3 linked regions of the Sus scrofa genome follow. The protein of the gene in region 2 purifies or fractionates together with the protein of the main gene of each other region. This does not show direct contact. Links are inferred from orthologs where the notes say so. Each region holds a gene or a part of one and is shown on either strand. Other genes may lie near its edges.

Region 1 (4,451 bases), on a different chromosome or scaffold from region 2:
TGGCAAAAAGACCAAATAATAATAATAATAATAACAACCCTCCATCATGTCTTAGCTTTAGACTCTACCTTCTGTGGCATTAAATTCAAAGCGATAGCAATTATGTTTCCTCTTGAACTACACTGAGTACTTGAACCAAGCTCAAGGCATGACTCCTCGTATTAATCACTTAGACAAGAGAGGAGGCCCTACGGTTTGTTAATTCTATGTAAATGACTAACTGATTAGGCTTTTTTTTTTTCCTGCAAATTACAGTTGGGCTTTACCCCAGGGAAGGGAGGGCTTCATTTGTCTCTGGGCACACACTTGATTAGGAGATCAGAGGAGGACAGAGCCTCACATGAGGAGAGCTCCCTTACTTGTGACAGAAGATGGGATCAGCAGACTTGGGGATGACGTAGCCATTAAAGGAACACAAACACCCTACCCCACCTAAGGAGACCTTAGAGCGCTAATGCCCTGACCATTGGGTGTGATTCAAATGAAAACAGTGCAGAGTTCCCATTGTGGCTCAGCTGGTTAAGAACCTGACTAGCATGCATGAGGCTGCCCATTCAATCCCTGGCATGGATCAGTGGGCTAAGCATCCGGTGTTGGCTCCTGCATAGGTCGCAGATGCATCTCGGATCTGGCGTGGCTGTGGTTGTGGCATAGGCCAGCAGCTACAGCTCCAGTGCCACCCCTAGCCTGGGAACTTCCCTATGCTGCAGGTGTGGCACTAAAATTAATTAATGAATTAAAATAAAATCAAATAATAAAATAAACGCGCTCCTTAAGAAAAGCCAAACATTCAGTTGCTTTTTAACTCTCAAGGCATCATGCCTCATATTCCAGCCAGATTTAGAGGGACTTGATATGCTTCACTGATATTTTTTAATCTGCAGTTTTACTCAGAACTGATTGGCCTACATCACTGTATAAGCTTCAGGCGAACAACATGATGGTTTGATTTACATATATATTGTGAAGTGATGGCCACTGTAAGTTCAGCTGACTTCTCTCTTCTCATATAGACACAATACAAAAATGAAAGAAAAAAGAAAAATAGTTTCTGGTCTGTGCTCACGCTTGGGTTTTGCGCTCTTGACAACAAGTGCCTAGAGGTTTGTCCTCATGGCCACCTCCTGCTAATTCCTCCTCCCTGGACCTTCTGCCTTGTAACCACAAGTCTGTTCTCTTTTTCTATGAGTCTGGGGATTTTGTTTGTTATTGTTTTTGGTTTGGGTTTCACTATAAGTGAGACCATAATGTATCTGTCTCTTTCTCTCTCATTGCACTTAGCATAATGCCTTCAAGGCCCATCCATGTTGTTGAAAATGCATTTCCTCTTTTCTGTGGCTGAATAATGTTTATACACACACCCCCCCACACACACACATCTTCTTTATCCATTCATCCGTTGGTGGACACCTCGGTTGTTTCCATATCCTTGCTGTTATAAATAATGCTGCTGTGATCACAGTGGGTACAGAGATCTTTTCAAGTGTTTCCTTTTTTTTTTTTTTTGGATATATTCCCAGAAGTGAAATTGGTGGATCATATAGTAGTATTACTTTTAATTTTTTGAGGCGCTTCCGCAAAAAACCATAGTGGTTGTACCAATTTACAGTCCCACCAGCAAAGCACAAGGGTTCCCTTTTCTCCCCATCAGCCTTTGTTATCTCTTGCCTTTTGGATAATGATCATTCTAACAGGCAAGAGGTGCCATCTCCTTGTGGTTTTAATTTGCATTTCCTTCATGGCTAGTGGTGTTCAGCATCTTTTTGTGTACCTAATGGCCCTTTGTATATCTTCTTTGGAGAAATATCTCTGCATGTCCTTTGCCCATTTTTTAATTGGGTTTTATTGGGTTTTTTGCTATTGAATTGTATGAGTTCTTTATCTGTTTTGGATATTAAACTCTTATCAGATGGTTTTCAATAAAGGATTAGATAAGCACTTAAAGGGTTTATGTGTGTATTCATAGCCAGTTACTTTTTTAGTACAAATTCTCTTAAGATAAGTGCGTTTATTGGTAATGTTGGTTCAGTATTGAATTTACAATTCATGTAATATTTAGTGGTTTCTTTATTCTTCTGTAGCTTTGTGTTATCATTAAAATGTGATAGATTTTTTTTAAATGCGAAAAGTAAAATGCCTGTGTTTTTGCTTTATAGAATATTATTTAAAGACAAAGATCGGAATTGGGATGAAATAGAAAGCAAGTTAAGAGCCGAAAGTGAAGTCCCTATTGTGAAAACCTCAAGTATGGTATGGTCGTTTTTCTTGACTCTTAAAACATTTTGAAAGGAGGGTTTTGCTTTCAGGGAATGGCATGCTTATTTTTTACCTGTTGATGTATAAAAGAAGATATAAGTGTACAAATTTGGGAAATTTTATGCCTTCACTGTCTCTCACAGAGGTTTAACATGTTGCTTGTTTCAAAGTTCTTGAGGGTGTGGGGTCTCAGAATTACATACTCTTGTTCTTGTGATAATTATAGATTATAAATAAGCCATTTTGAAATAAGAGCCAAACTCAAATACAAGTTGACATGAGTCATTTCCATTTCCTTCATCTAGATTGCTTGTTTCCTCCCCAAGGGTTTGTGCAGGTTTTTCTTGTTCAGGGAGTTATCCCAACAGTCTATGAATTTTCCAAGGAAAACCCGCAAGCACTTTTACAAAGGTGTTGCAAGGTTGGTCAGTACAAGTTTTCAAAATATTTGCTTATAGAATATTATTTTGAACTTTTCATCATCTGTCATCATCTCATTTTTAAAAAGACTGTTTCAACATTAAAGATTTTAAAATTTGAATCTCATTTATTGGAGATCATGATTATTTCATATCCTGTTGCTACAGATGTAAAGCCATGTAGATAATATGAAGGATTCCAGATAAGAGGAGTGTGAGGTTCATTGCTTATCAAACAAAAATGTTTTGATTAAAGTAAGCTAATTTTTGTTACTATTTTCTCTACAGGAGATCTCTTCAATCTTACAGGAACTAAAAAGAGTTGAAAAGCAGCTACAAGGTAAATTTGCTACTGAATTTAGTATAAAGAGCTAATGATTTGGGACAAGTACCTTCTAAGTGGTATTTCTAAAGTAGTATTGACTATTAGAACACTATGTTATTGGAGTTCACGTTGTGGCACAGTGGTTATGGTTAACGAATCCGACTAGGAACCATGAGGTTTCGGGTTCGGTCCCTGCCCTTGTTCAGTGGGTTAACGATCCGGCGTTGCCATGAGCTGTGGTGTAGGTTGCAGACGCGGCTCGGATCCCGCGTTGCTGTGGCTCTGGCGTAGGCCGGTGGCTACAGCTCCGATTGGACCCCTAGCCTGGGAACCTCCATATGCCGCGGGAGCAGCCCAAGAAATAGCAAAAGACCAAAAAAAAAAAGAACACTATGTGATTAAGTGTAATGATGTATAGATAAAGATATAGATTCTGGGAGTTCCTGTTGTGGCTCCATTGGTTAAGGACCTGATGTCTCCAGGAGGATGCCAGTTAGATCCCTGGTTTCTCTCAGTAGGTTAAGAATCTGGCATTGCTGCAAGCTGCAGCATAGGTTGCATTTGTGGCTTGGATCTGGTGTTGCCAGGGCTGTGGCATAGGCCAGCAGCTGCAGCTCAGATTCAACTCCTGGCACGGGAGTTTCCATATGCTGCAGGTGTGGCCAAAAAAAAAGAAAAAAAGATACAGATTCTGCATATTCAAATTTTTCATATAAAGGAGGTTTTAAAACCTAGTATGAATAATTTAAAATAGAAGAAAGTTTAATCCTAGGCATATAGGATAGATGTTATAATTCACAGTATTATATATAGGCTCTAATATTTTTATATATAGATGCTGTTATTGAAAAACATATAAATAATGTATTAGGGAGTTCTGTTGTGGCTCAGTAGTAATGAACCGGACAGTATCCATGAGGACGCGGGTTCGTTCCCTGGCCCCTCTCCATGGGTTAAGGATCCGGCATTGCTGTGAGCTGCAGTGTAGGTTGCTGCCACTGGCATAGACCAGTGGCTACAGCTCCAGTTCAGCCCCTGGCCTGGGAATTTCCATATACTGCAGGTGCAGCCCTAAAATAAATTAATTATATTAAATAATATATTAAAGTGTGTGTGTGTGTGTGTGTGTGTGTGTGTGTGTGTAGCTGATAATGCTTACTGCCAATTAGCATTATTTACATGATTTGATAATTCTTAAATTATATTTTTGGTATAACCCACATGAACTTATGTTCTAATGTAAATAATAGTCATTTGGCTGAACTACAAGAATTGAGTGTGGATTGGACACAGGCACCAGAGAGGAGGGAGAAAAGAAGAAAGAGACCCTTTGCCTCCTAAACTTTAACACGAACATGGTTTTTCATCTGTGTCAGATCTTTAATTATATGCATTAATGCCTATTTAGGTATGTCTTGACCTTGGTCCTAGCTAAGTGAGTCTGAACCTTT
Region 2 (4,451 bases):
CGGCAACCAGGCTCCGTGCTGAGCACTGTACGTGTGTGAACCTATTTCCTCCACAGAACTCTCTGATAGAGGCTTCTTTGCATTTTACAGATGATGAAACAGGTTGAGAATAGATGACATTTGCCCAAGGTCACAGGCAGCCTGAGGCAGAGCTGTTAAGAGGGTCTGACCCTGAAGCCTAAACTCCTTGTCCAGAGGCCCCTAAGAAGGCTCCCACCTCGTCCTGGATGACACAGGCAGGGAGCAAGGCTGGAGAGGGACCCCAGGTCTCTCGGATTCTTCCCACACCCCGCTCTACTGACACTCAAGATGGAAACCACTTAAATGGCTCCGCTTGGGGCAGGGTTCAGTAAATAAAGGTAGAGCAATCAGGGCTGGCTCCCCGCATCCTTGGTCAGCCAGGCCTTAGTGGATACTGGCCAGGGTGTGATCTACGGATCAGGTGCCAAGGAGGACGCAAGTCTCAGGCGGCCTAGCAGGGGAGAAGACAGAGAGGGGGGCCTTGTGTGTGGCTGTGTGTGCGGCTTTCACCCGGGAGCCCCAGTTTCTTACCTTCAACAGGGACCCTTCATCTCCCTGGGAGCCCTTGTAGCACTTCTTCTGCTTCCCGTTCACGGTGTTGTAGACTCTAGGAAGGTGGGGGGCATAAGTGACTAACCTGGCCCTGCCCACTCACCCTCTCCTGTCCTCTGGATCCAGCCTTACCTGCTCCCTCCTTTCCCCTGGAAGTCCCCATTCCTCCTATCCCCCATCTAATGTCTGGGCTGAAACCCCATGCCGGGGAATGTGACCTCATCCCAGGCTGGGTCACAGAGGCTATGTACTGGGTGTCCCTTGAGTTCATGTCTGCCTCCCCGTCCATAGCAAGCTGAGGGCCTGGCATCCAGTTCGAATGAGCAAATGAAGGTGGTGGAGAAGCTCTCTGCACATGCTCATTCCTCCCCATCCTCCCGGGCTAAGCTCAGCCGTCCCTTCCAACAGGCCCTTTCCACAAGCTCCTGTTGTCCCAGCTCTGGTCACTCTGTGCTGTCACAGTCTGGGGAGGTTCTCTCTCTTCCACTCCACATGACTTTCCCACTGTCCCTTCTAGACAGCTGCTCAGGAAACAAGGGTGAGTGAATAAGTCTACGAGCCACATCAGCACCTCTCAGTCACCCCACACAGGCTCCTGAGAGCCAGGGGAACCCTCGGCTGACCTGGGTGAGCCCAGCTCCTAAGAAACACCCACACGGTCCCTCCACCCCACCCTGCTTCAGGGACCAGATAAGCAGGAGGAAAGCAAGCAGCCCATGAGAAGACAGGCCCAACTAGGCCCCTACAGGCCCCGCTCAGAAACCAGCCCAGGCCAAGCCAACTCAGAAGCCAGGACTGCCCTCACCTGACGTTGCGGTCCTGGCAGGCCACGGCCACATACTTCTGGGTAATGTCAATGTCCATGTCATACAGGGTGGTCTTCTCTGCCACGTGGTGGGTACGGACGAAGTGCAGTCCATCCGAGGCCTGGCAGGGCAGGCAGGGCCTTCAGAGGACGCCCCTGACAAGCCCCCTACCCCAAGGAGGCCACCCCACGCTACCTGCTGGGCACTGCGGAAGTAGATGCTCTTGTCGGCACCACAGCTGATCATCTGGATGTCTCTGCTGCCTGGAGGAAGGAGCAGTGTACTAGGCAGGGCTGGGCCACCGCTGGGCTGCAGATCCTAGCTAGGGAAACTACCGCAAGGGAACTCTGCTGGGGGTCAGAGGGGGCTTCGTGGAAGAGGTGAGGTGAGTGCTGGGGTTCGTGGAAGAGGTGCGGTGAGTGGTAGAGCCGTGTGTGTGTGTGGGGACACAGGGAGCAGTGGGCTGCAGGCCTCTGCAGAGCAACAGCAGGTAGGGAAGCAGAGGCCAGGACGCAGCAGGGGCACCATGTTTCATGTGGGATTTGGAGAGGTGACTTGGGTTGCAGCATGGAGGTGGGACTGAACAGAAGAGAGGAGACAGGCAGACCTCTGGGAGGCTCACACTATCAAGAACAATCAGAATATCCACACATTCCTCGGTCCAGGGCCTGCACTGCCTGCGCCTCCCCTTCCTGTCACCAGCCACTGCGTTGCACAAATGGGAACCCAGGGGCTCAGCGTCACACAGTCCTTGTCCCAGGGTGCAGCGTCAGGACCGGGCCAGGGCTGAACCCAGGCAAGCTCTGGTTAAACACTGCTCTGTAGCCAGGCTTCCTCTCTGAGCCTCAGCTTCCAGCCTGTTTAACGAGCCTCCTTCACCGTGGAGCGGCGTGAAGCTCTAGGGACAATGGTTGCCACCTGGTAAGCACTACTGGCGTGGCGTTGCTTTTATCCTTCTTTCTTTATAAAATAACAATAATCACAGCACAAATACCTCAGAGAGTTGTAGTGAGAATGAAAAGACAGAACACACTGCTCCTTCATGACAGGACTTTTGAAGAGCGTCCGGGCCTGACATGCAAGTTAAGGTGTTGCTCAGGCAGGAGTTAGCAGATCACGGAAGGGGGTGTGTGTTGGGGGCTGGAGGGAGGGGGACTGGGACCCAGGAGGGACCCAGAGAGGGCCTGCAAGTCACTGGTAATGTTTTGCTTCTTTACCCAGGGTGGTGAGTCCAAGTATTTAGCAATACTGGGACCAGGACCAATCAGAACAGTTGCTGGCTGTAAACAATGCGTGTCTGGCATGGTTCAAACCTACCAGCTATGACCCTTGATGTGGACACTCACTGAAGGAGTCTGTGAACTAGTAACAGGTTTTCTGTGTATTTTTGGATGTGTATTTCACTGACTCATTTTTTTAGCTAGGTAGCTCCAGACAGTTTCTGACTGGCTGGAGCCCAGTTTCTATGAACTATCAACGTTTTGAGGACAAGGCCCAGGCGAGCCAGCCCAGTCGGAGCAGGGTTCACAGGAGTTTGCTTTAGGATGCGCCTCCTCAGCCTGGCTGGGACTTTACCAGAGGCCCACACCTTCTGAAGGTGGCCTCAAGGACTGACTCTTGGGCCACCCTCTTGGGCAGTCATCACCTCTCTAGGATCTAGACCATTCTTTAAAGGTGAGGTCACTGCTGGCCAAACTTCCAGGTTTACTGAACAATTCTAACTACCCTGTGGAAAGAATGGTCTTTTAAGGATGTCTGAGAAGTCTGAGCAGATGAGCTTTTGTTAGATCCTCACTAAGACATTGCAAATATTGTTGACCCGTTTTGGCCCAGCTCCTGACCACCTTAGTTAGACAGAGGCAGGGCAGGAAGCGAGAAAACCAAGGCACATTAGTACATTCTTAGCCGCAAGATTATGTGAAGGAAACTCTTCATGGTTGAGAACTTGGAGTACACAGATGTATTCTCTCCATGAATGGAATCTTTTTTTTTTTTTTTTTTTTTTTTTTTTGGTTTTTAAGGCCACACTTGCAGCACATGGAGGTTCCCAGGCTAGGGGTCTAATCGAAGCTACAGCTGCCAGCCTACACCACAGCCACAGCAACACCAGATCCGAGCAGCATCTTCGACCCACACCACAGCTCATGGCAACACTGGATCCTTAACCCACTGAGCGAGGCCAAGGGTCAAACCTGCAACCTCATGGTTCCTGGTCGGATTCGTTTCTGCTGCGCCTCGACGGGAACTCCGGATTCTTCTTGAATACAGTTTTGAATATGTTCCTAGGTTCTAATCAGTTAAACCCCCATGAGGCCTACATGCTCTTCTCTTGGAATTCCTCATGGCCAGGGATCTCCACACTCAATCTTTCCAGTCTTGGAGGGATCCCTTCAATTGCTGGGTTGAGCACAGGCTTTGAAGGACAGCCTTATGCCAAATACCAGGCCTGCACCTACTGGCTGTGTCCCTGGCTGTAAAGGGGATAAGGAGGTGGGTAACTGCTGGGATGGGCAAGGACCATCACCCAGCACAGAATTTGCCTCCAGCCATGGCTGCTGTCACCCATTTTTCTGCCAAAGTCACCAGCACCCATCCCACCCTGGATTGGCACCCTGACTGCCTTCTGGGGACCAGTTCTCATCTAATGCCAGTCCTCCTGGATGCAGATGGAGGCAGGTGGGGGCTGGGGGCACATGAGTCAGACCTGGCCCAAGAGAACACCCCTAAGCTCTGGCACCGATAACTATTCTGGAAAGGACAAGCGCCTCAAGCCAGCACAAGGGAAGTTGGCTCCCAATTTCTGCCAAAACTGACAGCACAAGGGAAAATCTCTTTCCAGTGGCATAGCGACCACCAGGATCCTGTCCACCAGAGAAAGGACAGATGACAGAGGGAGAGTCCTAATAATTAAGAAAAAGAAAAAATCAACCTTTGGATCCAGTTGTGCTTGAATCCAGAGCTTGCCTCTCCCTTTTGTTTAAGCTAAAGGGGGCTTTGTTGTTACGTGCAGCCAAAGGAGCCCATCTAATGAGGTGCATGACGCGGCAGGAAGGGGCTCACCAGTAAACTTGA
Region 3 (4,451 bases), on a different chromosome or scaffold from region 2:
TGTCGGTAGCATCATTAGCAAGTCTTTTCTCCCATTCCATTGTTTGTCTTTTTTTTTTTTTTTTTTTTTTTTTTTGTCCTAATGGTTTCCTTTGCTGTACAAAAGCTCATAAGTTTGATTAGGTCTCATTTATTTTTGTTTTTATTTTTATTGCCTTGGGAGACTGACCTAAGAAAACATTTATATAGTTTGTTAGAGAATGTTTTGCTTAGGACATCTGCTGATTTGAAAGGTCAAATGACATGTGCTTAGAATGGCCCATTATTGATGTATACAACTTATTGTGACTTTAAAATGAGATCTTTGGGAGTTCTGCTGTGGTGTAGCAGGTTAAGGATCTGGCCTTGTCACTGCAGTGGCTTGGGTCACAGTTGTGGCTCAGGTTCCACATGCCATGGGCATGGCCAAAAAAAAAAAAAATAAGATCTTTTAAAAGTAGGTAATTTAGTGTACAAGTGAATATACATGTTAACTTATGATTCTCTCTTTTACTATAATCTCTTTTTTCTTTTTTTTTTTTAATTGTCTTTTTAGGGCCACACCCATGGCACATGGAGGTTCCCAGGCTAGGGGTCTAATTGGAGCTACAGCTGCCAGCCACAGCCACAGCAGTGCCATGTCTGCAACCTATACCACAGCTCATGGCAACGCTGGATCCTTAACCCACTGAGTGAGGCCAGGGATTGAACCCACAGCCTCATGGTTCCTAGCCGTATTCGTTTCTGCTGCGCCATGACAGGAACTCCTATAATAGTTCTTATGTGATCTTTAAGATGCCTTTCTGAATCACTTTTACTCCACTGATGGAAAATTTCTAGCTAATCTTAATATCTAGCAAATAAAACATTATTAACTTCTCTAATAACTATTCATAAATTAGAAATGTTCTCAAGCTGATGTCTCAAATTTGCCTATAGTGATGAATCTGTGCAGTGGTAACAATTACAGTGAAAAAATGAGCAATTAGCCTGAATTGTTTTACAAGTGATCTACTATCTTGTGGACTGCAGAATATTTGTTTATATCATAGCAGTCATTTTTTATTTTTATTTTTGAAGGACTTAAAGCCCAGTAATATAGTGGTAAAATCAGACTGCACTTTGAAGATTCTTGACTTTGGACTGGCCAGGACTGCAGGAACTAGTTTTATGATGACACCTTACGTAGTGACTCGCTACTACAGAGCACCTGAGGTCATCCTAGGGATGGGCTACAAAGAAAACGGTCAGCATACTATTTATCTGAAATACGGTTCTGTGTTATTTGCTTTCGTTTGTAAGATTTCTTGTGTAAATACTTACATTGAAATGCATAGAGTTAAAGGTATATTGGTGTTTGAAATGTTTATCAAGAGTTTGACAGTAACTACAATTCTTTTTTAAATTTTTAGAAAAACTTGGGGCCCCTGTTTATTTAAATACAAATAACCAACAACACTACCATTGGATAAAGCATTTGTTGCCATGGCCCCTGTAACAGAGCATATACCATTTGCTTGCTTATACCTTGAAAATGAGCATTCTGACGTGGGCTCAAGGAGCCATATAGTGAACCAATAGATAAATTTGCATTGGTGATATTTGCACACATTTCCAATCTTGTGACATTGAAGTTAATAGCAGTAACACTTACTACAAACTTTAAGAGCTATAATAAGGACATTCTGTATGCTGATGGATAATTTAAGGTGACCTTTTGGACCCTTGTGACCAGCTTTAGAGAAATGGTATTATTCTGTGCAGGTAAGGTCAATTATATATATCAGCACTAATCAAAGTTGAAGAAAATTATCAGGCATGCAGTTCATGAATTAAAAAAAATTATACATATATATATTTATACTTAAGAAATTTTGTTAAATCTTAGTCATTTAGGAGATGAATAAATCTGCACAGGAGTTTATTGACTTAAATGTGGCAACTCAATTCAGGATATTTCATAGAATAAGACTTGGACATTTTTTTCTAGCAAAGAATCTAAAACAGCAGTTCACTTTGAAACAGGAAATTGCATCAAGTTAACCTTTGGGATTCATTTTTATAAACGATAACATTGAGTTATCTGTTATAAAAAGATATTTTGTAAAAAGAATTTTAGCTTCGTTTACTTTTCTGAGCTAATTGAACATTTGCTATTATTCTTTTGTTTTTAAATATGCTGTTCTGTCATCTTTCTCCTTACCTAAAATTACTGTATACCCTATAGAATCTAGTGAGTTAGATTTAGTATTAGACATTTTAAAATTTTTTTTGAGAATTGATACTTTAAGTGACCAGCATGAAGATTGCTTTTGCATTTGCTATGAAACCATTGATTGTCACAGATAATATATATAAAGGGTCACTCTGGGCTGTGATCTTGAGAGCTCCCTACCAGAAATTAACACCAAGAAAAACCATCTTATGAAGAATTGATGAGCTTTCTTTTCTTAGATAAGAATTATATAGATCACCTTGTTGCCTTTTTTTGCCCAAAGAAACTGTCAGTATAATGCTTGATTCTGATAATTTCATTAGCCAGCAAGTTTTAACTTAAGAACTTCGTTCTTTTAATGTCTTTTATTGCAAGCTACCTCAAAGCTTTTTGAAAAGTGTGAGATAATGGAATATATTTAAACTGCCCAATGGACTAAGCAGTTAGACCCTGTAAAAGCAAGTTTTTGTATGAATCAAGCTTTTCCTTTTCTGGGGAAAGTAGTGACTCAGACAGTATCTTCTCTCATGATTGCAGCTTTTGAAATCTTTTTTTTTTTTTAAGATACACTTTTTTAAAGATTACCTTCATAAATTGTGTCCTGGATATTTAACTAAAGCTTGCTATTCTCTATAAAAGCCATAGGGAAAAATTATTGTGATAGATTTTTTTCCAAACACCCTGGGAAAAATACTTTCTGAACTACTGATTTGGGAATATTAATTTTCCTCTAAATATTTATTCTTGAAAGTTGAATCATGCCATGGATATTAAAAGATTTGTTTGTATTTTAATGTGAAATTTTAGAGAAACTTTAGTTCCATAGGATTTCTAAAATTTGTTCTTAATTTAGCTTCTAAAATTGTGTAATGAATTGGTAGTCTCCTTACTGAGTATTTTAGAAAATACAGACTTTCCCAAAGTTCTCTTGCATAGGTAAAGAGTCTATCTCTAACATCTATTCTTGTGCTTTTCCTCTTTTGCTATTAAAGAATGGGGCCTTCAAACTTAAACAAATGCAAGTTTCTAAAACTTTCCTTTCACATTGCTCATTCTTCCCCTCTTATATTAAACTACAAGCACCTGCTCTTTTTATCTGATTTTCAGACTCAAATATAAAATGTCCGGGTACATTGTTTTAATGAACAGGTGGAGAACCTCAAATTGCTCATTTCTGTGCCTGGCAGATTCATCTCAGCATTGATTCAAGCTCTCATTTAAAGTTGACAAGAGTCAGGAAGTCCTCTAGGAGACTGTAGATAATAAATCTTTGGGGACTTTTCATACATATTCAACCAAAACTAACTTCTTAAACCAGTTTGGTTATAGGGGTTTAAAAAACTTTCAGTGAAAAACATGTGAAATATACTTCTTTTTATTAAATTTTCTTAATTTGATTGTTTGTTCTGTATGCACGTGTTAGGGTAGTAGAGTAAATGCAGCATGATGTTGCCAAGAAGGCAAATTACTTTCAACTCAGAATAAACATAACACTTCTCAAAACAAATTTATAAAATACAATATGAAAATTTCTAAAGAGCTTTAGATTAATTTTTTAACTGTGATTATTCATAGAAGCATTTCTGTTAAATATTTTAATATACTAGATTATTTCTGCTCATGCTTTTTTCTTTTATTTGACTTAAAGAGAGAGTATAATGCACAGTTGAACCACAAAATAGAATCAAGATTTTTTTTTTAAATTTTGCTACTCATGTACATTTTCAGCCTTATTTGTAAGATTTGTGTTCATTTCTTTTTTGTATTTTATAAACAAATTTTCAGAAACAAAATATATAGGTTTTTTTCAGTTATGTAGTTTCTGTGCATAGCTCTCACTTTAAAATTAGATACAGTAAAAAGGCCACATTTCACATTTGCTTTTGTGAATCAAAAAGCCTTTTGAAAAAATACTTTGTTTTTAGTTATTCCATTAGCTAAAATTAAAATCACTTTTTTCTTTGTGATGTTTTGCAGTTTTTAATATAACGCAGTCATATTATGCTTCTTTGATTTTAATGACCTTTTGCTTTGCTTTTCCTTCTTTTGTGCTGCAAACATATAGTGGATTTATGGTCTGTGGGGTGCATTATGGGAGAAATGGTTTGCCACAAAATCCTCTTTCCAGGAAGGGACTGTATCCTTGTGCTGCTGCAGCAGTTTAATTAGTTAGGTGATGAATTTCCTTATGTTCTCTAATGAAAATGAATAAGTGTATATTCATACATGTGGGGTTTTTTTAAAACAGACAAAGTTTG

The links. The genes of interacting proteins can lie anywhere in the genome.
Region 1: the proteins of WDR62 (region 2) and CEP170 purify together in Homo sapiens (affinity purification with mass spectrometry; 3 studies listed by BioGRID and IntAct, with this or other methods). This does not show direct contact. The link is inferred for Sus scrofa from reciprocal best matches to the Homo sapiens genes WDR62 and CEP170.
Region 3: the proteins of WDR62 (region 2) and MAPK8 purify together in Homo sapiens (affinity purification with mass spectrometry; 5 studies listed by BioGRID and IntAct, counting the BioPlex papers as one, with this or other methods). This does not show direct contact. The link is inferred for Sus scrofa from reciprocal best matches to the Homo sapiens genes WDR62 and MAPK8.

What each region holds. Positions count from the first base shown.
Region 1 is NC_010452.4:16,071,957-16,076,407, reverse strand, and holds part of CEP170 (centrosomal protein of 170 kDa), read left to right. Parts: intron 1-2,156; coding exon 2,157-2,250; intron 2,251-2,963; coding exon 2,964-3,015; intron 3,016-4,451.
Region 2 is NC_010448.4:45,456,242-45,460,692, reverse strand, and holds part of WDR62 (WD repeat-containing protein 62), read right to left. Parts: coding exon 4,440-4,451; intron 1,643-4,439; coding exon 1,575-1,642; intron 1,501-1,574; coding exon 1,379-1,500; intron 629-1,378; coding exon 553-628; intron 1-552. UniProt on the Homo sapiens protein: Required for cerebral cortical development. Plays a role in neuronal proliferation and migration.
Region 3 is NC_010456.5:89,089,654-89,094,104, forward strand, and holds part of MAPK8 (mitogen-activated protein kinase 8), read left to right. Parts: intron 1-1,058; coding exon 1,059-1,224; intron 1,225-4,258; coding exon 4,259-4,330; intron 4,331-4,451. UniProt on the Homo sapiens protein: Serine/threonine-protein kinase involved in various processes such as cell proliferation, differentiation, migration, transformation and programmed cell death.